7 linked regions of the Callithrix jacchus genome follow. The protein of the gene in region 1 purifies or fractionates together with the protein of each later gene. This does not show direct contact. Links are inferred from orthologs where the notes say so. Each region holds a gene or a part of one and is shown in the gene's direction. Other genes may lie near its edges. The genes, in order: OTUD5, CNP, EEF2, SERBP1, melanoma-associated antigen D1, CTPS2 and KHDRBS1.

Region 1 (4,025 bases):
ATTTATTATAGAGTGGAAATTGAGGATGGGTGCTCGCTTCCCAGCACATATACTAAAATTAGAACGATAGAGAAGATTAGCATGGCACCATTTGAAAGGATGACACGCGAATTTGTGAAGCGTTCCATTAAAAAAGTAAACAACAGGCCGGTGCGGTGGCTCACGCCTGTAATCCCAGCACTTTGGGAGGCCAAGGCAGGCGGATCAGGAGGTCAGGAGATCGAGACCATTCTGGCCAACATGGTGAAACTCCGTCTCTACTAAAATACAAAAAATTAGTCAGGTGTGGTGGTGTGCACCTGTAGTCTAAGCTACTCGGGAGGCTGAGGCAGGGGGATCCCTTGAACCCGGGAGGCGGAGGTTGCAGTGAGCGGAGATCGCACCACTGCACTCCAGCCTGGCGACAGAGAAAGACTCCGACTCAAAAAAAAAAAAAAGTAAACAACAACAATTGAGGACGGAGTGGATGCTAAATGACTTGCCAAAGATCACTCAGACAAGAAGGGCAGAGCTAGGATTAGTGTGTAGCTCTCCAGCCACTCAATAGCAGGGATTTTTGCCAACCCCATTGCGAGACGCTGACTGGTGACAGAGGTGGTTCATAAACCTCGATCGACCCAGGCAAACTTAGTTTTAGAAAAAGGCTAGGCTTGGCCAGGCACGGTGACTCATGCCTGTAATCCCAGCACTCTGGGAAGCTGAGGCGGGAGGATCCTTTGAGCCCAGGAGCTGTAGATCAGCCTGGCAACGTAGCGAGACTTTGTCCCTACAAAAAAAGTGAAAAAATAAATTAGCCGGGCGTGGTGGTGTGCACCTGTGGTCCCAGCTATTCGGGAGGCTGAGGCGGGAGAATCGCTTGAACCTGGGAGTTGGAGTCTACAGTGAGCTATGATCGCGCCACTGCATTCCAGCCTGGGCGACAGAGTGAGACCCTCGTCTCAATTAGGAAACAATTAAAAATAAAAAGGCTGGGCCGCTCCTGCGCACTAGCCATAGGGGCGGGGAGGTCACCGCGAGGGCGAGAGTGCTGTGTCGCCAGAGAAGGCGTGTCTGTTTCCCAAACAACCACTGTCCCCACGGTGCCTGTCGGTCCCAAGGTTGGTCGGTATGACGGGAGTGACGGCGTCTCTTAACCAATCACCGCAGAACTTAAGCTGTTGCTGGGGTGAAGCGGTGTCCACCTCCCCCGGAAGGGTATTTGCAGGGGGGTAATATCGGAAGTGACGCTCGAGAGGAATGCTGTGCTCTGGACTGTTGATGTTTTCCTGTCAGTCCGGCTGACAGCGTTCAAGTTGGAAGCCTGGAGGGGAGGCGTTTTTCCTTTCGTAGGTGAAACAGGCCACGCTGTCCGTCCACAGTTACGACGCCTGCAAGTGAGAGCTTCGGGGAGAAAAGTAAAGAGCAAGACGGGACCGACAGCAAGAAAGGCTGGGAACGAGGGTGTCGACTTTGACTGAAATTTGAGACGGAGGGCACCGGAGGGCAAGCACTCGCCTCTGATTGGCCCGTGGGCGTCGTCGGGGACCCACGCAGCTGCTCAATTGGTTGGTGTTAGCAATTGTTGTGGCAGCGGCGACGATTTTGCCCACGTACTTCGAGCGAGGGGCGGGGCTGTGCCCTGGCACGCGTGCGCAGCGCCCCGGGGCCCCACCCGGTAGTGCAAGAACCTGCGAGGGGGCGGAGTGAAGAGGTGCTTGTTTTGGTTCTGTCTCCTTTGAAGCAGAAGGCCAGAACGAGCGTAGCAATAAACTTGCTGGACTTGGAGAGAAGGCTACGACAAATTCGCCGCACTGCCTTCATCTTGGACTTCACATCCGGGTTCTCCCGGCGTGACCCGCGCGCCGTCGCCGCCACTGTCGCCGCCGCCACTGCCACCGCCGCCGCCGCCGCCGCCGCGGGTTCTCGGACCGGTGCCGCGATCTCTTTATCCGGGTCTCGCCGTTCCCGTCGTGCTTCGCGCACTACACTAGCCCCCTCATCCGGGTTCTCTCCCGGCGTGCTCTGCGCCGGGTTTGCTGGGGGGCACTCGGCGGTGAAGCCATGACTATACTCCCCAAAAAGAAGCCGCCGCCTCCCGACGCCGACCCTGCCAACGAGCCGCCGCCGCCCGGGCCGCTGCCCCCGGCGCCGCGGCGCGGCGGGGGTGTGGGCGTGGGCGGCGGCGGCACGGGCGTGGGCGGCGGCGATCGCGACCGTGACTCCGGCGTGGTGGGGGCCCGTCCTCGAGCTTCGCCACCGCCTCAAGGCCCGCTACCAGGACCACCGGGCGCTCTTCACCGCTGGGCACTGGCCGTGCCGCCTGGTGCAGTGGCGGGCCCTCGGCCACAACAGGCTTCTCCACCTCCTTGCGGGGGCCCAGGTGGGCCCGGCGGCGGGCCCGGTGACGCGCTGGGCGCAGCGGCGGCGGGTGTGGGTGCCGCGGGCGTGGTGGTGGGTGTGGGTGGTGCCGTAGGCGTGGGCGGCTGCTGCTCTGGGCCTGGCCACAGCAAGCGGCGACGTCAAGCTCCCGGGGTTGGCGCAGTTGGCGGGGGTAGTCCCGAGCGTGAGGAGGTCGGCGCAGGCTACAACAGTGAGGACGAGTATGAGGCTGCTGCAGCACGCATCGAGGCTATGGATCCTGCCACTGTCGAGCAGGTAAGAGCTGTGGGGTGATGGGTGGGCGGCTACGGTAGATGGGACCCCCACACTGTGAAGGTACCCGAAGGCTGTTTGAGATCTCCCCAAGGGATCTAGGCCTTTTCACTGGGCCTGACAGTCTTCTCTCGTGGTAGAGGTGTGAGACACCTTCTTTCCCCCCGTCTAGGGATTTGGGGCTAGAGGCCTACGGTGAAGTGGCAGACTTCCAAAGAGGACCTCGTAGAGATCCGAGGCCTCTTTTAGGGTCTGTAGTCGTCATTCCAGTTCCTGGGACCTCATCTTGTAGGGCCAATAGGTGGGAATTCTCCAAGAGACACAGGTAGGATCGAGCCCCTCTTGAACAGGAGTCTCAGGTTTCCCAAGAGACCTAGGTCTGTGTTCAGTGGCTTAAGAGCTCTTTTTCTCTGGGATAGAAGTTTGAGATTAGCCCTCTAGGGAAATCAAATAAAGTAGAGACCCCAGAGATGGGGTATGAACATCCCCAAGGAACCTAAGCCCCTTCAAGAGTCTGAGACACTCTGCATATAGGACAACCGTCTCCGCTTTGCTGGGTAATAGAACACAGGACCACTGAATAGCCAGACCTGAGACCTCAAGGGTCCTAACTCTGTCTTCAGGGGCCTGAGAATTCCTCTTCTAGAATCAAGGTCCTGATAAACACATAACGCCCTCTTTAAGGAGAGGGGTCTTCTAAGCTTTTTCCAGAGATATAAAACTTTTTGCAGGAAGATGATTCCCTTGCCCTTGGGGTCAGGGGCCAAAACCAACACCCAAGGACCGGCAGCTTTACTTGAGTACATGAGACTCATCCTCTTTCTGAGTGACAAAGGTCTTCATTTTCTATCAGTGGCCTGCAACCTACCTCTTTGGAGACAAGGGCCAGAACCTCTCTTCAGAATATTAAGCTCCCTGTAAGAAGAGATGGGCCCTCAAAGCCCCCACCTCCCACCAAGGGCCTGAAGCTTCTTCAGGAGAATGAGACTCAGAGGGTTGGATCCTAGGGCCTAAGATCTACCTTCTTACAGACTGAGGTGTTTTTTTTTTTTTTTTTTTTGAGACAGGGTTTCACCATATTGGTCAGGCTGGTCACGAATTCCTGACCTCAGGTGATCCACCCGCCTCAGCCTCCCAAAGTGCTGGGATTACAGGCGTGAGCCACTGCATCTGGCCCTGGACTGAGGTTTTTAGGGACTGAGTCTGAGGCCTCTTCAGGGGCCTGGTGCCCCGCTGCAGAGGTGAAGTCTTTAGGAGACCCTTCTTGAGACTGGTATCTGAGTGGTTTTGGGGGTCTCAGACTCCCCACTCCACAAGGATATGTGACCCTTTTACCTCAGTTATAAGGGACTGAAACATACCTTGGGGATACAATATCCCATCTTCTCTCTGTG
Region 2 (3,164 bases), on another chromosome or scaffold:
GCCCAGCTGCCCCCAATTTTAGATGATCTTCATACCTGAAATAGCCCCACTCTGGTTTGTTGACATTGTGTATATTGCACAGAAGCAGGGAATTTGTGCCTGTGTGGGTTCTCAGATAACTTTTTTCTCAGTTCCTAAACTTGAGCTGTAGTATTTGCAGTGATATCATCCAGGAGCAAGCCCTGTACCTGTGAGCTGGTGGCTCTGTCCTAGAATGACTGCTGCTCAAAGTTGCTTTTACTTTTATTTTTTAACTGATTTTGAGACACAGTCTCATTCTGTTGTCCAGGCTGGAGTGCAGTGGTGCAATCTCAGCTCACTGCAACCTCCATCTCCTGGGTTCAAGTGATTCTCCTGCCTCAGCCACCCAAGTAGCTGGGATTACAGGTACCCACCATCACACCCAGCTAATTTATGTGTTTTTAGTAGAGACAGTTTCACCATGTTAGCCAGGCTAGTCTCAAATGCCTGACCTCAAATGATCCACCCTGCCTTGGCCTCCCAAAGTGCTTGGATTACAGGTGTGAGCCACCTCGCCGGGCTTGAGAATTTTAACTTCTTACAGCTCTAAAGTTGCTATTAGTGTGACCAGCTAATGAATGAATGAGCTATGTGGGTTGCTGGAAAGTTGATGCCCAGCCTATTTTTTCTTTCTTTTTTTTTTTTTATTTTGAGACAGTCTTGTTCTGTTGCCCAGGCTGGAGTACAGTGGTGTGATTTCAGTTCACTGCAATCTCTCTGCCTCAGCCTCCTGAGTAGCTGGGACTATAGGTACCTGCCACCACACCTGGCTAATTTTTTGTATTTTTAGTAGAGACAGGGTTTCACTTTGTTAGCCAGAAAGGTCTCCATGTCCTGACTTATGATCCGCCCGCCTTGGCCTCCCACAGTACTGGGATTACAGGTGTGAACCACCATGTCTGGCCTACTTTATCTTTAAATGAAAAACTGGAATTCTTTTCTGCCCAGGGTTACAGCATGAGAAATGTAATGGGCCAGCAAGGCTGCTCTCAGGAGCGGCCTTCCTCTCCTGTGGAGGGTGAGACATCTTCACAGGGGCTCAACTTAGAATATAACAGAAAAACTCTGAAGACAACCACAGGTGTGGCTTCTGGAAATCAAAATCACAGATACTCCATGCCTCTTTGTGTCTTCCAGCCCCATAATGTCACCCAATTATAGCCCAAGACCCTTCTTGTACCAGGAGGCCCCCTACAGGCTCTCATCCCCCAAACAGGCCTGCAAGGTGTGTATTCAACTGTTGGTGACCCTGTGACTGCTTGTCCATTTGGATCTCTGAATGAAATGGGGCACTAATGATAGTTCCCTGGCAGTCCTGGGAACACTGGGGTGTGCGGTCGCCCTAAACTGTTATGCTGGATTGATAGGGTCGGTCAGTTGCCCCAGGCTGATGGCTGGTAAGCAGCAGGGCTAAGATGTTCACTGTGTTCTGGCTGTTTCCACAGTACCATGTTGTTCCCAGCACTCTGTTCTTTCCACCCCACTTCCCATGACTTGTTTCCCCTTTGAGATGTGGGACTGGTAAATCTCAGATTCTCTTGGCCTGTACTGCCTGCCTCTGTTACAAATGCCTTAGAGTTTGGGGAAGAGGTAGAAAGATCTATACAATAGAAAGCCGGAGAATTTTAACTTTTTTTTTTTTTTTTTTGACACATTCTCACTTTGTTGCCCAGGCTGGAGTGCAGTGGCGCAATCTTGGCTCACTGCCACCTCTGCCTCCTGGGTACAAGCAATTCTCTGTCTCAGCCTCCTGATTAGCTGGGGTTACAGGCACCCACCACCATGCCTGGCTAATTTTTTTGTATTTTTAGTAGAGAGGGGGGTTTCACTATCGGCCAGGCTGGTCTTGAACTCCTGATCTCATGATCCACCTACCTTGGCCTCCCAAAGTACTGGGATTACGGGCGTGAGCCACCATGCCTGGCCTGAGAATTTTTAACTTTTTTTTTTTTTGAGATGGAGTCTCGCTCTGTTGCCTGGGCTGAAGTGTGGTGTCAGGATTTCAGCTCACCATAACCTCCAACGCCCAGGTTCAAGCAATTCTTCTGCCTCAGCCTCCCTGGTAGCTGGGATTACAGGCGCCTGCTGTCATGCCCAGCTAACTTTTTTTGTATTTTTAGTAGAAGGGGGGTTTCACCATCTTGGCCAGGCTGGTCTTGAACTCCTGACCTCGTGATTCACCCGCCTTGACCTCCCAAAGTGCTGGAATTATAGGCGAAAGTCACCACGCCCGGCCTGAGAATTTTAACTTCTTACAGCTCTAAAGTTGCCTTTAGTTTGAACAACTGACGAATGAATGAGCTCTGTGGGTTGCCGGAAGTGTTTTGCTCTGGGCCTCTGTGGTCCTGGTGGCAGGCGTTGGTATGCCTCTACTCCCCTGCCCTGACTGCACCGTTTTTCTCCCGGCAGTTTTCTCTGGGGATGAGACCAGGGAGAAGATTGATCTGGTCACCTACTTTGGGAAGAGACCCCCAGGTGTGCTGCACTGCACAACCAAGTTTTGTGACTACGGGAAGGCCCCCGGGGCAGAGGAGTACGCTCAACAAGATGTGAGTCTTCCCCAGGGTCAACATGGCAGAGGTGGGGGGTGGGGGCAGCAGCATCTTCTGCAGATGGGTACAAGTGACAGGCAGGGACCAAAAACCAGATGTCAGCTCAAGAAAAATGGCATCTCCTCCTAGCTCCCCTGTCCCCAGGCATATTTGCATAGACCTCAGCTTCAGGTTCTAAGGAGCCTGCTGCAGCAGTACCAGCAGCCTGTGCATTCGCCTGCCCCCAGGCGCCTTCTCCTTCTGCAGATTCATGGAGAATGCTGGTCCACAGTGGGCTCCTGCTCTGGCCCTGTTACCTTCCAAAGGCTAGGAGTCCCTTGCCCCTAGTCCTGAGGCCTGGCCTTAGAGTGAGGGAGTGTCATAGGAGAGTGAAGCTTATTGGCTAATAGGGTACTAGGCATTTCTGCACCACACAGCCGGCACCTTACGCCCACAGCCACAGGTGATGGTGATGCTTGAATGCCAGGCATGTCTCAGATCTGCAGTCTCCAACCTCCTCCAAGTGTCCAACCCCAAGCCCACCCTCCCACTTCTCTGCGTAGGTTATTACAGTTGTTTAACTGGAGCATCCTCCCAAATGGAAGCTCCCCT
Region 3 (3,280 bases), on another chromosome or scaffold:
CTCAATCCCACTCTCAGCTTTAAAGCTGAGCTGGGCTCTGCACAGGCTCCTAGACTTGATTTTGGCCTTGGTCTTCATTAGGGTCTTCTGCAGACGAGTGGGACTGTTTTGTTTTGAGATGGTGTCTCGTTCCAGTCCTGGATGGTGGAGCGCAGTGGCGCCATCGCTGCTCAATGCAGTTGCCATCTCCTGACTTCAAGCGATTCTCCCGCCTCACTTTCCCAAGTAGCTGAGATTACAGGTGCCTGCCACCACGCTCAGCTGATTTTTGTATGCTTATTGGAGGCTGGATTTCACCATGTTAGCCAGGCTAGTCTAGAACGCCTGACTTCGTGATCCACCTGCCTTGGTCCTCCCCAAGCTGCTAGGACTATAGGCATGAGCCACCGTGCCCAGCCAGCGGAGCCGACTGAGTTCCTCACAGACCGCTCATCCCACTGGCTTCTGTCCACAAACATAAATGCTCAGTGCGGTCGGGCCAGGCCTGCTCCAGACCTGGTTTCTCGCCCATGGATGCTTAGAATTGGGCAAGCCCATGGTTGTCTGTGCCGGAGAGCTCAGTGGAGCCCTGCTCCTTGTCCCAGGTGGCGGTGAGATACGTTTGCCGGTGCATCACTTGACACCTTGATTCTGACTGGTGTGACTCTGCCAGGCTGTATTAAGTCTGCCTTGCTGAGAAAATCTTTTTAAGGATGCCTCTGCGTGTTAAGTTCCTGCTTTCTCCAGGCAGGTGTGTGACCTTTTTCTTCTTTCTGCAGAAATCTGACCCTGTCGTCTCTTACCGTGAGACGGTCAGTGAAGAGTCCAACGTGCTCTGTCTCTCCAAGTCCCCCAACAAGCACAACCGGCTGTACATGAAGGCACGGCCCTTCCCCGATGGCCTGGCTGAGGACATTGACAAGGGTGAGGTGTCTGCCCGCCAGGAGCTCAAGCAGCGGGCGCGCTACCTGGCTGAGAAGTACGAGTGGGATGTGGCTGAGGCCCGAAAGATCTGGTGCTTTGGGCCCGACGGCACCGGCCCCAACATCCTCACCGACATCACCAAGGGCGTGCAGTACCTCAACGAGATCAAGGACAGCGTGGTGGCCGGCTTCCAGTGGGCCACCAAGGAGGTGAGGCACAGCCACCATAGGCAGGCCACACCCATGCTTCCAGCGTCTTGAAGGGACCTTAGGGTCCTGCCTTCTGGGACAAGGGACCCTGGGGCTGAGGTGGGCAAGACCAGTTCCCTTAGTGGAGACCTGCAGGGCTTGGCATGGGGAGGGAGGGCAACAGCCAGGGTGCATTCAGCCCTAGACGGCGGCTCTCCCCTTGCCCAGGGTGCACTTTGTGAGGAGAACATGCGGGGCGTGCGCTTCGACGTCCATGACGTGACCCTGCATGCCGACGCCATCCACCGCGGGGGTGGTCAGATCATCCCCACGGCGCGGCGCTGCCTCTACGCCAGTGTGCTGACCGCCCAGCCGCGCCTCATGGAGCCCATCTACTTGGTGGAGATCCAGGTGAGGCCCCCCACCCGCCTCTCCCCTGCCCCTGTCCTGCCTGACGGCCATTGACAGTATCTCTTCCACTCCGGCAGTGCCCAGAGCAGGTGGTCGGTGGCATCTATGGGGTGTTGAACAGGAAGCGGGGCCATGTGTTTGAGGAGTCTCAGGTGGCCGGTACCCCCATGTTTGTCGTCAAGGCATACCTGCCCGTCAATGAGTCCTTCGGTGAGTTCCGGCCTGGCGTGGCCCACAGAGCCCAGCAAGCAAGGGAGGTGGGACAGAGGCCCAGTTAAGCTGAGCAGGGGGTTAAAGGAGGTGGCCGATGGGGCATGTGACCCCAAAATCACTCAATTCACCAGGGAGGGCACTCTCATCTTCAGGGTGAGAAGGACTCGGCCAGTAGAGCAGCTGAGCTGTTGGCACAGAGTCGTCCAGAATGATCAGGGGCATGAGTCCCAGGAGGGGCCTTTGAGCAGGCCCTTGGTGAAGTGCTGGGCACCAGGCTGAGTCTCTGGTCTGCAGGGTGACTGGCTGAGGAAGCATCTTCTCCCGCCTGCCACCTTCCTGGCGGCCCAGTGAGCCTCTTGCTTCCCTCTGCAGGCTTCACCGCCGACCTGAGGTCTAACACGGGCGGTCAGGCCTTCCCCCAGTGCGTGTTCGACCACTGGCAGATCCTGCCTGGAGACCCCTTCGACAACACCAGCCGCCCCAGCCAGGTGGTGGCAGAGACCCGAAAGCGCAAGGGCCTGAAGGAAGGCATCCCGGCCCTGGACAACTTCCTGGACAAATTGTAGGCGGCAACTCCTGCAGCATCTGCCACCCCGGGGACTCACAGCACCCACAGCACCACGTCCTCACGTTCTCAGACAACACCTGGAGACTGTGTCCCGACACAGCGACGCTCCCCTGAGGTTTCTGGGGCCCGCTGCGCGCCATCACTCAACCTCGACACTTGATGCTGTTTCTTTCGATATTTATTTCCAGAGTCCAGAGGCAGCAGACATGCCCTCTTTGCAGGGACTTACTGGGCCTGTGGGGGAGGGGGAGGTGGGATGGGACACCCAACACTTTCCATTTCTTCAGAGGGAAACTCAGATGTCCAAACAAATTTAACAAACGCATTAAGAGGTTTATTTGGGTAATTGGCCCGTTGTGGCTTTTGCCCCAGAAAGGGGAAAGGGACAAGCAGATAGATGATTTCTGGCAGGCAGGAAGTTCTGTGTGGCGTCACCATGCACACCTCCAGCTTGTACCAGTGCCATTGGAATAATAAATCTGCTATGGTGGTGACTCCATGCTGGGTCTTTATTACACTGTCTGAGCAGGGGAGCAGGGGTGCCCTGCACAGCGTTCACCAGAACCTGGAAGGGGACCCGGGCTTTAGTTAGGTGCAGCCTGGGGCTGCCTCTGTTAGAACGTTCTGGAATGGTGAGAATGTCCTACCCCTGTGTCGTTCAGAGAAGCAGCTGCCCGCCTCGTGGGTCTACTGCACACTTGAAGGAGGTCGGATCAGCGTGGTAAAGAACTAGATTACAAGAGGTCACTGTGTTTCCGTGGGCCGTGCAGCTCCCGGAAGGATCTGGAGGCTTCAGCGACCCTCCGACTTGCTCGTGAGCTCACAAGCTCTCTGCCATCAAAGTTTCTGTGGTCCTGACGAGCTTGCTAGAAACCCACCTGCTTGCTTTTAAACTTTCTTTTGAGACAGAGTCTTGCTTTGTCATCTAGGCTGGTGTACGCAGCCTCCACCACCTGGGTTCAAGCATCCCACCTCAGTCAGCCATCCGAGTAGCTGG
Region 4 (3,500 bases), on another chromosome or scaffold:
GCAGCTTAAAGTCTTGTAAAACCAATTCCTCGGCTGCTTTATGATTTTGTTAGAAATTGGGAATTACAGCATACTGGCAATCTTACAGTCATTAATTTAACCATCACTCTATTGATCCTTAAGGCCACCAATAATTTAATAACATTGGTTGCCATTGTGGGGTTTCAGATATTATAGGAAAAAAGCAGTTAAGGGGGGGAAATTAATAAATGCTTCAGCTATCACTGAGTGTCACAAGTTTCTTATTTTCTACATATTGCTTAAAAGGGGTCTTATGTGTGTGTATTTGGTTTTTAAAGATTCTTTGAAAATAAAGATAGTTGTTAGGGCACATTTTTAAGAGGACTCTCCATCCATAGTAAGTAAATGTTTCCTAACTTGGAAGTACTTAGGGATGTGATACTGTGTACAAACATATATACACTTTATATGCTGTGCATTTTTAAACTATTTAATAGGGGAAGATGGCCCTTATTGTGTGCCTATAGTTAACAGTACTGTAAAAGATGACACCTTTTCTGGTTAAATGGCTGTTTTAAACTGAGGTGATGTTCTCTAATAATGCTAAATGCCATATTTTCCTTTCAGATTTGTAATTTTATAGAATTATTAGTCTTAATTGCATTTTTGTTCAGATTAGGTAGGATAACATTGGGGCCTTCACTTTTGTGAGGGGCCATATCTAGTGAGAGTGTATGATTTGCTTTGTTATTTATGAATGGCTGCTCGTATTTTCTTTGGCATTTTAAAAGCCAAAGTGTATTGCTTGCCTAAGATTTTTTTTAATTTAAAACTTAATTAAGAGACTGCTGATATCTTGGAAAGTGATGGGAAAAATGGCTGCCCAAATGACTTTCAAGTCAGTTATAGAAAATTCTTTTGGGGAGAGAATAACTTGGCAAACTGAATAGAAGTTTAAAACAAGTTTATTGTCTTAATTTTATTTATGTATTTAGTCAGTGGTATGGATTGCAAGGTTCATTGTCTTTTAAGTGGCAGTTTGGCTAAGGTACTTCGTTGACATTAGAGATGCCCAGTGTTAGCTTTTTTCCGACAGGAAGTGATAGTGGATTGGTAGAGAAGTGGATTTTGATAGTCCAGGCCTAAACTTTTTGTATTGCAAAAATAATTTGCTTATGCAGGTTATCTATCGTTTTAGGAATAAGACGAGTTGGAAGAAGACCTGATCAACAACTTCAGGGTGAAGGGAAAATAATTGATAGAAGACCAGAAAGGCGACCACCTCGTGAACGAAGATTTGAAAAGCCACTTGAAGAAAAGGGTGAAGGGGGTGAATTTTCAGTTGATAGGTAAGTTGTGTTTTTTTTTTTTGTTTTTGAGCCAGGGTCTTGGTCTGTCGCCTAGGCTGGAGTGCAGTGGTACAAGCTCAACTCACTACAGCCTCTGCTTCCTGGGCCCAAGCTATCTTACCATGTCAGCCTTCTCCTGAGTAACTCAGACTACAGGGTAACGCTGCCACAAAGCTTAATTTTTTTTTTTGAGATGGAGTTTCGCTCTTGCTACCCAGGCTGGAGTGCAATGGCGCTATCTCGGCTCACCGCAACATCCGCCTCCTGGGTTCAGGCAATTCTCCTGCCTCAGCCTCCTGAGTAGCTGGGATTACAGGCACGCGCCACCATGCCCAGCTAATTTTTTGTATTTTTAGTAGAGACGGGGTTTCACCATGTTGACCAGGATGGTTTCAATCTCTTGACCTTGGGATCCACCCGCCTCGGCCTCCCAAAGTGCTGGGATTACAGTCTTGAGCCACCGCGCCCAGCCCACAAAGCTTAATTTTAAAAAATTTTTTGTAGAGCTGAGATGTCATTTTATTGCATGGGTTGGTCTTGAGTTCCTGTGCTCAAGCTATCTTCCTGCAGCATTGGGGCATGAGCCAAAAAAGTCCTCATATTTTGTTAGTCTATGGAGTCACATATTAATGTTAAGCTATAAATTGGGCATAATTGCCAGGTGGCAGTCTGTCTAGTTGTGTCTACTAGTTTTTCACAGAAACAGCTGAATGTGTGCATTGTCAAACTTAGGTCTCTGGTAATGGAAACACTTTAGTTGAATTGATAATCATAAACTATTGGTTTATGAGCCAGTAAATATGTTGTGTATTTTTGATCTTTTGAATGGATTTCCCTCATTTCTTCTGGAAACTATGGAAGTATAATTTATTTATTTATATTATAGACCGATTATTGACCGACCTATTCGAGGTCGTGGTGGTCTTGGAAGAGGTCGAGGGGGCCGTGGACGTGGAATGGGCCGAGGAGATGGATTTGATTCTCGTGGCAAACGTGAATTTGATAGGCATAGTGGAAGTGATAGATCGTAAGTCTTACTGGTTTTTATTTTATTTCAATATTTTAATCTATTTATTTAATAAACAAACTTTGAATTTCTAGAACAAAAGAGTATTATGTTAACTCAGTTTTGTTAGTTCTTTTTCACATTACAGTGGCCTGAAGCACGAGGACAAACGTGGAGGTAGCGGATCTCACAACTGGGGAACTGTCAAAGACGAATTAACGTTGGTATTCTGATTTTTTAAAACAAAGCTAACTTTAATAAAATTCTGTACCTAACTAAAGGTTAATCCATACCTGTGTTAAATTTTACTTATCTCTGAGATAAGAATGAATCCTCTCTTCTGAGAGCTATTATATTACAGGATAATGTCTTATGGGATGGGTTTGGGTTCTAGTGCATTGAATGGCCAGTTTTTCTATACTTTAATATATTCGTTACTCATTTTTTCAATGTGTATTTGTAGCTTTTCTTGAAACCCCACAATAAGGTTATTTGGGTATTCTGATTTTTCTAGTGTCGTTAATAGTTCTTATTTTAGCTTTCGACTTTGTTATCATTACATAATTTGATAAGCTACTAAAGCTTTGTTTTAGAAATAACTGCCTTGTTCTGTTACCTTTTATTTTTCCCCAACTAGAATAACCAGTTTATGTTCTGTTACTTTTTAAGTATGAAGTATATGAATTAACTTAACCAATAGTTTATATTGTTTCCCCTTGGAGGTCTACTGGGGAGTATATTTAGTAGGAAAGGAGTTAGAGAAAGTGAGGGCTTATGGTATTTTTGTATGAAGAACTCTTCCACTACATGTAAATGGACCTAGATGCCTTTCTTTTTCTTTTCTTTCCTTAGAGAGTCTCCCAAATACATTCAGAAACAAATATCTTATAATTACAGTGACTTGGAGCAATCAAATGTGACTGAGGAAACACCTGAAGGTGAAGAACATCATCCAGTGGCAGACACTGAAAATAAGTAAGTGGTTTTGCGTGTAATAGTAATGACCCAGAATTGAAAGCACTTATCCAGTAAGATAACCCATAGATTTAATGTTGTTGTTGATGGCTTTTTGTTTTTGGGAAGAGAGGTTGTACTCTCATCCCTAAAAGAGTATTTAAAAGAATGTTTTTTGGGGGGGGGGCAGGGAATAGAGACAAGGTCTCACTGTATTACCCAGGTCTCCA
Region 5 (4,263 bases), about 2.6 Mb from region 1:
TAAGAACTGAAATAATATACTGTAAGTTTGCTGATCATAAAAATCCAACAGTGGAAAAATAACAGGAAATTAAACATGCATTTCTAAAGAACCCATGGGTCAAAGAGGAAGTACAGGCTGGACACAATGGCTCATGTCTGTAATCCCAGGAGTTCAAGAGCAGCCTAGGTAAGGAAGCAAGACCCCATCTCTACAAAAAATAAAAAGGATTAGCTAGGCATAGTGGTATGCTTCTGTAGTCTAGCTACTCAGAAGGCTGAGGCAGGAGGAGCACTTGAGCTTAGGAATTTGAGGTTACAGTGAATTATTATCATGCCAATGCACTCCAGCCTGGACAACAGAGTGAAACCCTGTCTTACTAAAGAAAAAAAAAAAGGAACTACAAAGATAAAATCAATATATAAAAATATCAAAATACAAAATATGAAGATTGATGGGATTCAGCTAAAGCACTGTTTAGTGGGAAATGTGATTCAAATTGTTGAAATAAATTGTAAAAATGCCAACAAAACTAAGGACCTTATTGCTAGTTTCCTTCTTTGCTCTGACCACATTTTGGTCATTTATTAATTTAACAAATATTGATAAACACATATTTTATGCTAGGCTCTTAAGTGTTTAAATGTCATTTTAGCTCTAGGCTGTGGGCTTCTAGTGTAGTGTCTCTGGGTGTAGCATAGTATTTGGGACATAGTAGGTGCTCAGTATATACTTGTGGATTGACTAAAAATAACCACAAAAAGAGATCCTCCCCTTTGGTGAGAACTGTGGTCTAGATTTGGGGGCCAGGAGAACTTTCTGGAGGTAGTGTCAATAAATAATTCAATGTTAAACTTGTTCTGAAGGTATTTAACCAGAGTAGAGTTTTTAAAAAATTATTGAAACATTTTTTTCAGTTTTCATTTTCTTCCTTTTCTTGGGGAGTATGTAAAATAATGCAAGAATGCTTTCTACAGGAGTCCAGCTTTATTCTTTGGACATTTGAGTATGGTATGTAACTCTGGATACGATTTCAAAGCAAAAGTTGTTTAGACTTAAGATGTTTTGAAAAGGTTGACACATACCGCTAATACAAATGGAATTTTTTCAAAGTGGTGTGCCAGAAACAGTAAATCAGTTTGGTAAATATGTCACTGTAGACATCCAAGACAGAGAAAAATGAGGCCTAAGTTAAGGGACTAAGATGAAGGGAGATATTTCTAAGGCGAATCAATGAGAGGTGGCAAATTGCACCTGATGGATTTGGCAGAGATACTGCAGCTCCTGGCGTGACTAGAACTAGGATTTGTAAAAAGTTCGTGATTCTCTCAGCCCGTTTACAGCACAATGTAGGTGTTGATCTAGTGAGGGAGTCAATGAGATAGAGCATTGCAGAGCTTGCTAGAGAGGCACAGGAAGTCGCCTGAAGTGAAGGAGGGGGTGGCTGCTGCAGAAGCTAAAGCTTCCGCCAAACAAAAGAGGACAGCACTTCCGGTCACGCCATCGTCGCTGCCTTCTCCGTCAAGGTGAGTGTAAAGAAGGGGTCTTGGTAATTCTCACATATAAATACCGATACACTCCAGGGAGACCTCCTTTTGTGCCTCAACATGGGGTGGAAAGGAGAATTCATCCCCGCGTACGTTGTAGGAAGGATGCTTCTGACGCATGTGATTCTGATAGCTTCACTGTCTCCTCCCTTCTCCTCCGGAGATGGGAGGTCCCATCCGACTCCCCTTCCCGATTCTTGTGGTCCTTTTTATCTACCTGACTCTCGGTCATGCTTCACCTCTCTTCTTTATCCCAGATCCTCTTCTCCGGTCTGGAGGCAGGGTCATTCCCTCAATCACATTCCCTCTACCACAGGTCACTCCTATCTCCTACCTCTTACCTCCGCCTTCTGCCCCGCATCCTTTTAGCCTGCGACTCTTTGCAAGCCCCTTCCTAAACCCTGTTTTACTCCCGCTGCTGGCCTTTGGTCTTTCCCGTTCCCCTCCTCCAGAGACCAGTGAATTACGTACTTTGCAAAAGTAGGTGTGACTTCAAGGTCAAGGCTTTTTTTTTTTTTTTTTTTTTCTTTTTTGGTTCTTTTAAAGTAGAAGGAAAGAAGCAGAAACCTTAGAGCCCTAAGAGACATAGGCACTTGTTCGAATTATGTTCTTTTATTTTTTTAACTCTAAACAAAATTACACATCATTTAGATACTATTGCACAGATTTCTGTCTTCTCGTTGCATCTGTTTTTTATGTTGCCATAGGATTGAATCCCCAAATTTTTTTGGGGGGGGCGGCAAACGTAGTGGATTATACCTATAACCAGGTGTCAGAGCTTCAGAGAGCGTAAACTTTCCCATCCCCTGTAAAAGTTAGTGGAGAAATGGTTGACAGGCGTGGTATCCAGCCACAAATTTATTACTTTATATGAGTTGAGTTTATTATGCAAATTATTTTCTGGTCTCTGATAGCAGCATTAAGCACCAAGCTGACATTTTTTGAGACAAAGACTTTTTCTCAGAGCTTTGCAAGTATTACATAATCTATTTGTTGCAATATGAAATTACTTTTCTGTTACATTTGTTACCATGTCAAATTTATCTTGTGAGAACATCAGTTATTAAATAATAATCACAGTTTATTATTGCCTTTACTCAAATGATCATTAAATTTATGGTGAGAATCAGAGTTTTTCAGGCTCTATCAGAATCTAAAGAGGAATTTAACCAAAGTTTTCTTTGAACAAGCAGTTTACTCCCTCCTGTGTGTTATGCTTGCCAAAATAAGGGGTGATCCTCTTTTCTAGGCCATGGATAGTTTTTATTTAAGAATAAACAGGCCAGGCGCGGTGGCTCAAGCCTGTAATCCCAGCACTTTGGGAGGCCGAGGCGGGTGGATCACGAGGTCAAGAGATCGAGACCATCTTGGTCAACATGGTGAAACCCCGTCTCTACTAAAATTACAAAAAATTAGCTGGGCACGGTGGTGCATGCCTGTAATCCCAGCTGCTCGGGAGGCTGAGGCAGGAGAATTGCCTGAACCCAGGAGGCGGAGATTGCGGTGAGCCGAGATCGCGCCATTGCACTCCAGCCTGGGTAAAAAGAGCGAAACTTCGTCTCAAAAAAAAAAAAAAAAAAAAAAAGAATAAACAGGCTGGGCGCGGTGGCTCACGTGTGTAATCTCAGCACTTTGGGAGGCCAAGGCGGGCAGATCACCTGAGGTCGGGAGTTCCAGACCAGTCTGACCAACATGGAGAAACCTGTCTCTACTAAAAATACAAAATTAGCATGCCTGTAGTCCCAGCTACTCGGGAGGCTGAAGCAAGAGAATCGCTTGAACCCAGGGGCGGAGGTTGCAGTGAACCGAGATTGCGCCATTGCACTCCAGCCTGGGCAACAAGAGCGAAACTCCATCTCAGAAAAAAAAAAAAAAAAAAGAATACACAATGAGGCAGAGCTTTTGTGACACCAAAACCCTTAGGAACATTTCCAAAGAGTATTGCTGATGTCTGTTTATTCAAATCATTATTACGTATCATTTAAATATTATCACATTCGTTTCAGCCCACTGTGCATCTCCTCACCTGTTTTTTTCCCCACATCCCAGATATGTCATCACACAGGTAAATAACTCACTATGTATCTCTAATTTATAGGTGCATTAAGTAACCACCACATCATTATTTTACTTAGTAAGATAAATAATTTCTTCTTTTTTTTTTTTCTGTTGTTTTGTGATGAGTCTTGCTCTGTTACACAGGCTGGAGTGCAATGGTGTGATCTTGGCTCCCTGCAACCTCTGCCTCCTGGCAAGTGATTCTCCTGCCTCAACCTCCCAAGTATCTGGGATTACAGGAGCCTGCCATCATGCTTGGCTAATTTTTGTAGTTTTAGTAAAGATGGGGTTTCATTCACCATGTTGGTCAGGTTGGTCTCGAACTCTGGACCACAGGTGATCCACCCACCTTGGCCTCCCAAAGTGCTGGGATTTACTGGTGTGAGCCACTGCACCTAGTCAATAATAATTTTTTATATCATCTAATACTCAGTCTATATTCAAATTTCCATGATTGTCTTTTCTTTTTTTTTTTTTTTTTTTTTTTAATTGAGACCGGGTTTAGCTCTGTTGCCTAGGTTGGAGTACAGACATATGATCAAAGCTCACTGCAGCCTCGATCTCCTGGGCTCAAGTGATCCTTGTGCCTCAGCCTCCTGAGTAGCTGGGACTACAGGTACATGCCACCACACCCACCACACCCAGCTAAAATTTTCTTTTTTGAGACAGAGTTTTGCTC
Region 6 (4,218 bases), about 33 Mb from region 1:
CTCCTCCACCTCTTGCCATCCTTTTGGAACCCTGGATGTCCAACGCACCATTCTTGTGGGCACTAGACCCGAGGCCAGTGATGGCCATCTCACTTTTCTATTCCAGTGTAGCTGCTGCACCCCAAACTGTCTCGTTTCCTGGAATACCAATTTGAAGGCCTGGACTCCAGCACGACACTCTCCACTGGCAGTTTGCCAGTCCTCTCCTCAGAGGCCCTGGCCTTGGAGCCCTTCTCTCATCTGTTTGCCAGTCCATCAGCTTCCTGCTGGTTTTATTAATAGTTCGTGTCCTCTAGGACTAGAGCTCTGGTCCATCAGTGCAATCCCAGTCTTTCTGTGCCCTCTGCCTCCTCACTCTATTGTCCTACTCTATGCAAGCAGCAAACTTGCGTTTCATCACTAAGAGCTGTATTTCTGCAGATACCTTGCCAGATTATAGCTGGACATCACTACATGATGATGGTTTCTAAACTCCACTAGGTCTTCAGTGACTCTTGTCTAACTTGTTCCTCTAGCATCTCACATCGGTTATGCAAAATTTCCTCCACTTTCCTAAAACCTTCTATTTCACTTCAGATCCTTCTATTGTTCATGTTAGCTTCCTTCAGTGGTTTGCTTCTTGCCTTCAACTGAAAAACCACCTGTATCCATTTCCAGCACCAGTCATCCTCCAATACTCTTTTTTTGTTTGTTTTTGAGACAGAGTCTCTAGTGTCACCCAGGCTGGAGTGCAATGGTGTGATCTCAGCTCACTGCAACCTCTGCCTCCTGGGTTCAAGCAATTCTCCCTGCCTCAGCCTCCGGAGTAGCTGGGATTACAGGCAGGCGCCACCATACCCAGCTAATTTTGCATTTTTAGTAGAGACAGGGGTTTCACCACGTTGGCCAGGCTGGTCTTGAACTCTCGACCTCAGGTGATCCACCCACCTCGGCCTCCCAAAGTGCTGGGATTATAGGCGTGAGCCACCGCACACCCGGCCCAAATACTCTTAAAGGTCACTCTTCTCCATCTCAAAAAAAAAAAAAAAGTCACTCTTCAAAGCCTTAATTGCCTTCCTCCCCTCCCCGCACCCCCGCAGCTCTTTGCTGCACGAGTATAGTTCTAGGGAGACTTACTGCTTCCAACAGACAGGTGGACCAGACTGTGAGCTAGCTCTCAAAGGCAGGTATTCTATTTTCTTTTCCTTCTCTCCTGAATTCTCTTGCAGTTCCTGGAGTGTAGTAGGGGATTCACAAACGTTTGTGACTAGTAAAGTCCTTTGCAAATGTGAGATCTGGACAGGAGGACACGAGCGAGGGTCTCGGCCTGCCAGGGGGCGGGGGCTCTGCGGGAGGCGTGGAGTTCATTCGCGCACTCGAAGTGCCTTTGCAAAGTGAGCCAGCGGAGGGAGGAGCGGTACCCGGGCGGGGCGAGGCTTGGGGCCCAGTGCGTCCAGAGAGGAGGGAGACGGGAGCTGCCTGTGCTGGAGGAATCACTTTTTAGGCGCTTGTTTTGGACCACTGCACAAACCCGGGTGCAAACCCCAAGCTCAGCAGCGTGAGTCAGCTGGGCCAGCAGCTGGGCGGAGAGGGGAAGGTGGGCGAGGAGGGCGCTGCGCACCCCGAGGCCCGTGTGGGCGGCGGGAAGATCGCGGGGGCGGCTTTGGACAGCCCAGGCAGCGTCCCCTTCTACAATCCGACAGGTGAGCGCCAGGCCAGCAACCGGTTGGAGCCTACCGTCCCCGTCGGCCACCCTCCCCGGCGCTACCATCACTGCGCAGGTAACTTCCCTCCTGGGCCTGTTCCAGACCCCCAGGGCCTCGGCGCCCGCCCGGGCCGCCCCGCATCCCCAAGGCCTCTCCGCCCCGCACCCCCAGCCCCGGGGTATTTGTAGGGCCGGACTCCTTTGTCCCCTCTCTGATGGCGCCCGCTCACTCCCCAGCGCTGAGTCCAGAGTCCGGCCGCCAGCTCCCCGCGTCCAGCATCCCGCGCTCGCCGACCGCGGCTGCCGGGTGTGACGCAGGGGCTGGGGGACTCTGACCTGGGCCCAGTGCGGTCGGAGCCTGTCCCGCTAGTCCCCGGGACGGGTTTTTCCCCTACCCCGCCCGCCCCCGCGCCTGTACCGGGATCCCCACTTCTCCCGGCCTTCGGGAGCCTGAGAGCCAGAGATGGCGTTGTTGGAAATAAAGCCCCAAGCGGGGGTCGGCGAGGCTGGTGATCAGCGTCGGTAACAGGGCCTTTCTGTCCTCTCCCCGGTCCCAGTGCACCGGTTAATCAACGACCCTCGCTTTTTCCCCGTACTGGAGGGTTAGGGAGCAATAGTGCCGAACTACGCTGCTGCTACAAAATACCTTTTGAGGGGGGCAACATAAAAAAGGATTGTATGTATAGTTTATATACGATAAAATGCCCCGTTTTTAGTGTGCAAATCGATGGGATTTGACAAATTATACCCTCCTGTAACCATTATCCCAACGTGAACATTGACCATTTCTTTTACCCTGCAAAGCTCTTTGGTCCCTCCCTCCAGTTAGCCCTTGCAGCCCCAGGCCCCGCACTCAACCCCCGTTCTGATTGTTATCAAGCTTAGTTTTGCCTGTTCTAGAACGTCATAGAACAAGATCATCTGGTAAGTACTCTTTTGTGTCTAATATTATTTTAAAATGGCCATCACTGGGAAGCTGTCTCTGGGTGCTTCCGCTGCTTTTATTTGCTCTTGGCTGGCCTGGTCTAAGGTGGGAGCCACTGGCCACATGTTGTTATTGAATACTGGAAATGTGGCAAAATCCGAACTGAGATGTGCTCTAGATATAGGCATCTGATTTCTGAAAGCTTAGTACACAAAAAGATGTAAAATATCTTACTAATACATTCTTACATTATGTGTTAAAAATGAATATTTTTTGGCTACATGGGGTTAAATAACATTAACATGAACTTCATTTGATTCTTTTTTTTTTTCTGTTGAGACGAGTCTCCCTCTGTCACCCAGGCTGGAGTGCAGTGGCTATCTCGGCTCTCTGAAATGTCTGTCTCCCGGATTCAAGCGATTCTCTTGCCTCAGCCTTCCCAGTAGCTGGGACTATAGGCGTGCACCACTGTGCTCTGCCAATTTTGTATTTTTAGTAGAGATGGGGTTTCTCCATGTTGGTCAGGCTGGTCTCAAGCTCCCGACCTCAGTTGATCCCACCCACCTCGGCCTCCCAAAGTGTTGGGATTACAGGCATGAGCCATCGTGCCCGGCCTTCATTTGATTCTTTTTACTTTTTAAAATATGGCTACTAGAAACTTAAAATTACATACCTGACTGTGTAATATTTTTTATTAGATAGTGGAGACAGCATAACTCGACACTGTGCTATCCTACAAACACTTGGTTCTGTTCACTGCATGGAAGAGTGAATGAAAAACTTGCCATGACACCAGAAACCATCCCAAATGGAGGAAGTGATCTAAAACAGGGCCAGTCTTTCCCTGCACCTTTGAAACGTTGTTAAACTTATTTGTTTGCTTAAAAGAAGTAGAAATAATTAAGTGTCTCCTTGGTATTAAGTTGCATTTTAAAAAAAGGTTTCTAAAAAATCCAATATGCTTTAAAAAGCTGTATGGTGTTTTTGAAAATACAGAGAATGAGTAATTGCTTATGTAGGAGAGGAAAGAGCGAATGTTTCTTTACTCATCCTAAGGGTCATGGCTGACAGCCTTAAACAAGAGATAAATTAACAAGAGAGAAATGTAACAATTTATTGAGTCATAGGTTTATGTGGCATAGGAGCCTTTAGAAATGAAAACCCCTGGCTGGGTACGGTGGCTCACGCCTGTAATCCCAGCACTTTTGGAGGCCTAGGTGGGCAGATCTTGAGGTCAGGAGATCGAAACCATCCTGGCTAACATGGTGAAACCCCGTCTCCACTAAAAAAAAAAAAAAAAAAAAAATATATATATATATATATATATGAAGCTGAGGCAGGAGAATCGCTTGAATACAGGAGGTGGAGGTTGTAATGAACTGAGATTGTGACACTGCACTCCAGCCTGGGCAACAGAGTGAGATTCTGTCTGGAAAAAAGAAAAAAAGAAATGAAAACCCCTTAAAGATGCAGATATAGGTGAAGGGGAGGAAGGCAGCAAATCACACTGCCACGTGTGTACCTATGCAACTATCTTGCATGTTCTTCACATGTACCCCAAAACCTAAAATGCAACAACAAAAAAAAAGATGCAAGGGAAATGATCTGA
Region 7 (4,087 bases), on another chromosome or scaffold:
CCTAAGACTTTTGGAAAAGTGTGGGCTCATTAGGAGAAATGATCCAAAAGGAAAAGGGATGGGAGTCTCGAGTGCTTTAAATGGGAGAAGAAAAAAAATCTGTGGAGGGAAGGAAAAATTAAGGCACTAGGCTTTTGATGGTTTATGGGACAAGTAGGAACCTAAGGCTCCACTTGCATATAGCACTCTAGGATGTGGAGAACGCCGTTGAAGATTGTCCACTATGTATGTACCTTGGCCTTGAGAGTAGTGGCAAGGGTCTCTCTAAGCCAGTCTGGAATGGTAGAAGGAGCCATCCTAATGATGCAACCAACGTCGATTAAGGATCTGGTCTCTATCCCACTTTTTGACGGAAAAAACACTTAACTGGCAAGAATGACGGCTAAACAAAACGTTAAGTCACAGAAAGCAGTAAAATATGTAAAAAGAGCTAAAATGCTGCTTCTTTTAAGATTTCCCTGACCAGCAATGGCAACCGTTTTAGAACCGACTGCAATATATGTAATACTGGAAATATATATAACACTAGCAATGACTTCTCGTGTTCCCTGCTGTCTGGGGCCCTTTTCTTTGCTAGACTTCAGGTCTCTGATCCGAACCCTCCCTCTTAGGTCAAGTCCTCCAATTGCTTTTAGTGTTTCCACCAAGCCGTCCTTCTTCAATTTCTCCCTCCAGGTTTCCCTTCCCCATCTCCCCTGCTATTGCTGCGTCAGACTCTCCCTTAGTCTTTCTTTCTCCTTGTGCAGTCTCTGTCTCTCCCCCACCTCTCTTCCTCCCTAGGCAGCCTCAGTTCTCTCTCCCTTCCCTTTCTGGGTCTCCCACCGCAGTCTCCTTTTAGTTTCTCACTTCAGTGACCGCCCCCAAGCTACTCGCCTTACCACCCCACCCCATTGCGCACTAAAATGTCCGTGCCTTTCGGCCGTTGGAGGGCGTGGCCCGGCGAGTAACAGGTCTCCCGCCCCACACTCGGCGGGCCCGCGCGTAGACAAAGACATTCCACAGCCCCCGCCCCCTCCGCCCACTGAACCAGAAGGGGAAGGACCCACGTGTCCCGCTAGCGCCGAGTCACGTGGAAAAGGAAACGAACTGAGCCGGCAGCCTCCCGCGCATGCGCGCCAAATTCTGGCCTGGCGGGCGCGGAGGGAAAGCAGGAGTCGGGAGGCCACTTCTTCGTACGCCGCGGTGGTGCGCAGGCGCCGTGGCTGGACTGGGGACTTTGTTCTCCGCGGAGAAACCCAAGGGCGGTGCCGGTGACTGGCTGCGCACGCGCGCCGCCTCATTTCCGGTGCTCTCTCTCGCTGGGTCGCTAGGGTCGGCTTCGGTCGCTACCGCTCCCGCTCTCCCACCCCCGCCAACCGCCGCCCGGGCCTCCGCCGCTACCGCGTCGCTTTCTCACTCCTTCGATCGCACATCCTCCCCGATGCAGCGCCGGGACGACCCCGCCGCACGCATGAGCCGGTCCTCGGGCCGCAGCGGCTCCATGGACCCTTCAGGTGCCCACCCCTCGGTGCGTCAGACGCCGTCTCGGCAGCCGCCGCTGCCTCACCGGTCCCGGGGAGGCGGAGGGGGATCCCGCGGAGGTGCCCGCGCCTCGCCCGCCACGCAGCCGCCACCGCTGCTGCCGCCTTCGGCCACGGGTCCCGACGCGACAGTGGGCGGGCCAGCTCCGACCCCGCTGCTGCCCCCCTCAGCCACAGCCTCGGTCAAGATGGAGCCGGAGAACAAGTACCTGCCCGAACTCATGGCGGAGAAGGACTCACTCGACCCGTCCTTCACTCACGCCATGCAGCTGCTGACGGCAGGTAAGGGGGCCTCCCGGGTCCCTCTGGGTCGCCCGGCCATCCCAAGGCATGAGTGGCCCTGGCTTTGTTCCTCTCGCCTTCCGCCCCCTCGGGACCGAGGAAGTCGGGAGCTCCGGTCTCATCTTCGTTTTTGGGACCCTGGAGTCCACATTCCCACCTCAGTCTGGAGTGCGAGGGAGAATTTCTAGGCTGCAGTGCAGGCCCGAAGGCGACTTTGCGATCTCCTAGCGCTAACATCTTGATGGATAGTGCTGAGCTCCCCGCCCCTTTCCCGACTCTTCACTCCTCCCTCCTCCTGCGGCTGCCCCGCGCTCCGAGCGCGCAGATTCTTCCAGAAATGAACCTGTATTTCCCCCTTTCCCCGAGGGGGAAGCCTTTTTGATCGCGAGTGGCAATGAGCCCCTCGACCGAGGTGTGGGAGGTGAAGACAGCCAGAACGGGGGAGGGGCCGTGGGAGGAAAGGCCGAGGTGAGGTGGGGTGAGGCTGGAATGCCCTGTCCAGCGCGTCGCTGTCTCTGGGGCCGAGCCGGACTTAGCGGTAACCGCAGCTTAAGTTGCTGGGAGGAAGGAGCGATTTATGGGGATCGGAGCTTGAGGTTTTCGAATCAGATTTCCTACTAAGGCTGATAAAATAAGAATTGCTATACTGAGCTTGAAGGTTGTCTTTAATTTTACACCGTGGGTTCACCATTGAAGAAGGAGTGAAATAACCCTAGAGACGTTGAAATGGGACGATAGGGACTGCCGCGTAGTTCTCATGACGTTTCCCAACGAGATGGACAGAAATTGAGAGAAGTTGCATGATGCTTGTACTGAAAGTCTTGGTCTTTTTGTTGCTTTGTTTTACATATTTTATTCAGTAGTGAAAAAGAAATGAGTCTTTGTTCTGTAGATTAGCGCTCTTTTTCTGATCAGCATTGGCCAATCACCTAGTCGCCCTGATTTTTCCCTAAAGCTGTCTGACCTCCACTTCTAGTTAAAACATTATTTTAATAAATATTTCTTATGATACTTAAATTTTAGTATGCAAGTAAAAATTCCCATCATTCAACACTGAATGAGTGGTTGGACTCTATGGCAAGGTTAATATAATGAACAGTTCGTTATGAAAATATTACCTCCCTCCCTTTGTTCTGTCTCCCAACACTGTAAGTTAAGGGCTCTTTACCAATGTGGTGTTCATCTTTTATGCTTTTTTAAGATAACTGTCAAAAACTATTGACCCTTAAAAGTTCCCTGTAATTTTCAGTCTCCCCTCACTGCTTAACTAAGAGAGCGCTCTTTATTTTTAACTTCTGTTTTCTGGATGAATTTTTTTTTTTTTTCTTTAAACCAAACTGAAATTGGTAAGTGTGTTTGAGGTAATGTTGGTTCACTGAAAGAATGAAATCGGGATGTATGGATTCTTTGTGGCATTGATAAGTGTTAATGTATATTGAGCCTGGCTTTTTATTTTTTCTGAGACAGAGTCTCACTGTCACCCAGGCTGGAATGTAGTGGCGCTATCTTACCTCACTGCAGCCTCCACCTTTCGGGTTCAAGCGATTCTTCTGCCTCAGCCTCCTGAGTAGCTGGGATTACAGGCGAGTGCCACCATGCCTGACTGATTTTTGTATTTTTAGTAGAGATGGGGTTTCACCTCTTGCTCACTCTGGTTTCGAACTCCTGACCTCAGATGATCCGCCCACTTTGGCCTCCCAAAGTTCTGGGATTACAGGCGTAAGACACCACGCCCTGCCAGAGCCTGGCTTTTAAGGTACTTCTGAATTATCTTGCAAAGGAATTGCAGCGAAGTCACAACCCACTGTGAAGAAGTGAGACTTTGAGAAGATAGAATAGTAATATTTAAGTTCTAGTAAGAACAAATGGAAGGGCCAGGCGCCGGTAGCTCACTTGGGGAGGCTGAGGAGGGTGGATCACTTGAGGTCAGAAGTTTGAGACCAACCTGACCACCATGGTGAAACCCCATCTCTATTAAAAATTAAAAATACAAAATGAGCCGGGCATGGTGACACACACCTGTAATCCCAGCTACTTGGGAGGCTGAGGCAAGAGAATCACTTGAACCCGGGAAATGGAGGTTGCAGTGAGCCCACGTCTGACCATTGCACACCACCTGGGCAACAAAAGTGAAACCCTATCTCAAAAAAATAAAATAAAATAAAATAAAAACATGGAAGAAAAATATAGCTATATTTAATGTTTGGTGTCTGAGCACTTTACATTAAATTTTTTTTTTGAGACAGAGTTTTGCTCTTGTTACCCAGGCTGGAGTGCAATGGCAC

What was found.
Region 2: the proteins of OTUD5 (region 1) and CNP purify together in Homo sapiens (affinity purification with mass spectrometry; 3 studies listed by BioGRID, with this or other methods). This does not show direct contact. The link is inferred for Callithrix jacchus from reciprocal best matches to the Homo sapiens genes OTUD5 and CNP.
Region 3: the proteins of OTUD5 (region 1) and EEF2 purify together in Homo sapiens (affinity purification with mass spectrometry, with the first as the bait; 3 studies listed by BioGRID). This does not show direct contact. The link is inferred for Callithrix jacchus from reciprocal best matches to the Homo sapiens genes OTUD5 and EEF2.
Region 4: the proteins of OTUD5 (region 1) and SERBP1 purify together in Homo sapiens (affinity purification with mass spectrometry, with the first as the bait; 3 studies listed by BioGRID). This does not show direct contact. The link is inferred for Callithrix jacchus from reciprocal best matches to the Homo sapiens genes OTUD5 and SERBP1.
Region 5: the proteins of OTUD5 (region 1) and melanoma-associated antigen D1 purify together in Homo sapiens (affinity purification with mass spectrometry, with the first as the bait; 3 studies listed by BioGRID). This does not show direct contact. The link is inferred for Callithrix jacchus from reciprocal best matches to the Homo sapiens genes OTUD5 and MAGED1.
Region 6: the proteins of OTUD5 (region 1) and CTPS2 purify together in Homo sapiens (affinity purification with mass spectrometry; 3 studies listed by BioGRID and IntAct, with this or other methods). This does not show direct contact. The link is inferred for Callithrix jacchus from reciprocal best matches to the Homo sapiens genes OTUD5 and CTPS2.
Region 7: the proteins of OTUD5 (region 1) and KHDRBS1 purify together in Homo sapiens (affinity purification with mass spectrometry, with the first as the bait; 3 studies listed by BioGRID). This does not show direct contact. The link is inferred for Callithrix jacchus from reciprocal best matches to the Homo sapiens genes OTUD5 and KHDRBS1.

The regions. Positions count from the first base shown.
Region 1 is NC_133524.1:49,516,467-49,520,491, reverse strand, and holds the start of OTUD5 (OTU domain-containing protein 5), read left to right. Parts: upstream 1-1,225; 5' UTR 1,226-2,040; coding exon 2,041-2,634; intron 2,635-4,025. UniProt on the Homo sapiens protein: Deubiquitinating enzyme that functions as a negative regulator of the innate immune system. Has peptidase activity towards 'Lys-48'- and 'Lys-63'-linked polyubiquitin chains. Can also cleave 'Lys-11'-linked ubiquitin chains (in vitro).
Region 2 is NC_133506.1:91,255,877-91,259,040, reverse strand, and holds part of CNP (2',3'-cyclic-nucleotide 3'-phosphodiesterase), read left to right. Parts: intron 1-2,430; coding exon 2,431-2,570; intron 2,571-3,164. UniProt on the Homo sapiens protein: Catalyzes the formation of 2'-nucleotide products from 2',3'-cyclic substrates. May participate in RNA metabolism in the myelinating cell, CNP is the third most abundant protein in central nervous system myelin.
Region 3 is NC_133523.1:3,731,580-3,734,859, reverse strand, and holds the end of EEF2 (elongation factor 2), read left to right. Parts: intron 1-758; coding exon 759-1,112; intron 1,113-1,319; coding exon 1,320-1,502; intron 1,503-1,579; coding exon 1,580-1,712; intron 1,713-2,087; coding exon 2,088-2,281; 3' UTR 2,282-2,780; downstream 2,781-3,280. UniProt on the Homo sapiens protein: Catalyzes the GTP-dependent ribosomal translocation step during translation elongation.
Region 4 is NC_133508.1:104,660,193-104,663,692, reverse strand, and holds part of SERBP1 (SERPINE1 mRNA-binding protein 1), read left to right. Parts: intron 1-1,159; coding exon 1,160-1,310; intron 1,311-2,196; coding exon 2,197-2,337; intron 2,338-2,446; coding exon 2,447-2,536; intron 2,537-3,168; coding exon 3,169-3,291; intron 3,292-3,500. UniProt on the Homo sapiens protein: Ribosome-binding protein that promotes ribosome hibernation, a process during which ribosomes are stabilized in an inactive state and preserved from proteasomal degradation.
Region 5 is NC_133524.1:52,079,036-52,083,298, forward strand, and holds the start of melanoma-associated antigen D1, read left to right. Parts: upstream 1-1,463; 5' UTR 1,464-1,505; intron 1,506-4,263. UniProt on the Homo sapiens protein: Involved in the apoptotic response after nerve growth factor (NGF) binding in neuronal cells. Inhibits cell cycle progression, and facilitates NGFR-mediated apoptosis. May act as a regulator of the function of DLX family members.
Region 6 is NC_133524.1:16,988,841-16,993,058, reverse strand, and holds the start of CTPS2 (CTP synthase 2), read left to right. Parts: upstream 1-1,418; 5' UTR 1,419-1,682; exon of another isoform or gene 1,683-1,760; intron 1,761-2,001; exon of another isoform or gene 2,002-2,608; intron 2,609-4,218. UniProt on the Homo sapiens protein: Catalyzes the ATP-dependent amination of UTP to CTP with either L-glutamine or ammonia as the source of nitrogen. Constitutes the rate-limiting enzyme in the synthesis of cytosine nucleotides.
Region 7 is NC_133508.1:68,627,093-68,631,179, forward strand, and holds the start of KHDRBS1 (KH domain-containing, RNA-binding, signal transduction-associated protein 1), read left to right. Parts: upstream 1-1,287; 5' UTR 1,288-1,420; coding exon 1,421-1,802; intron 1,803-4,087. UniProt on the Homo sapiens protein: Recruited and tyrosine phosphorylated by several receptor systems, for example the T-cell, leptin and insulin receptors. Once phosphorylated, functions as an adapter protein in signal transduction cascades by binding to SH2 and SH3 domain-containing proteins.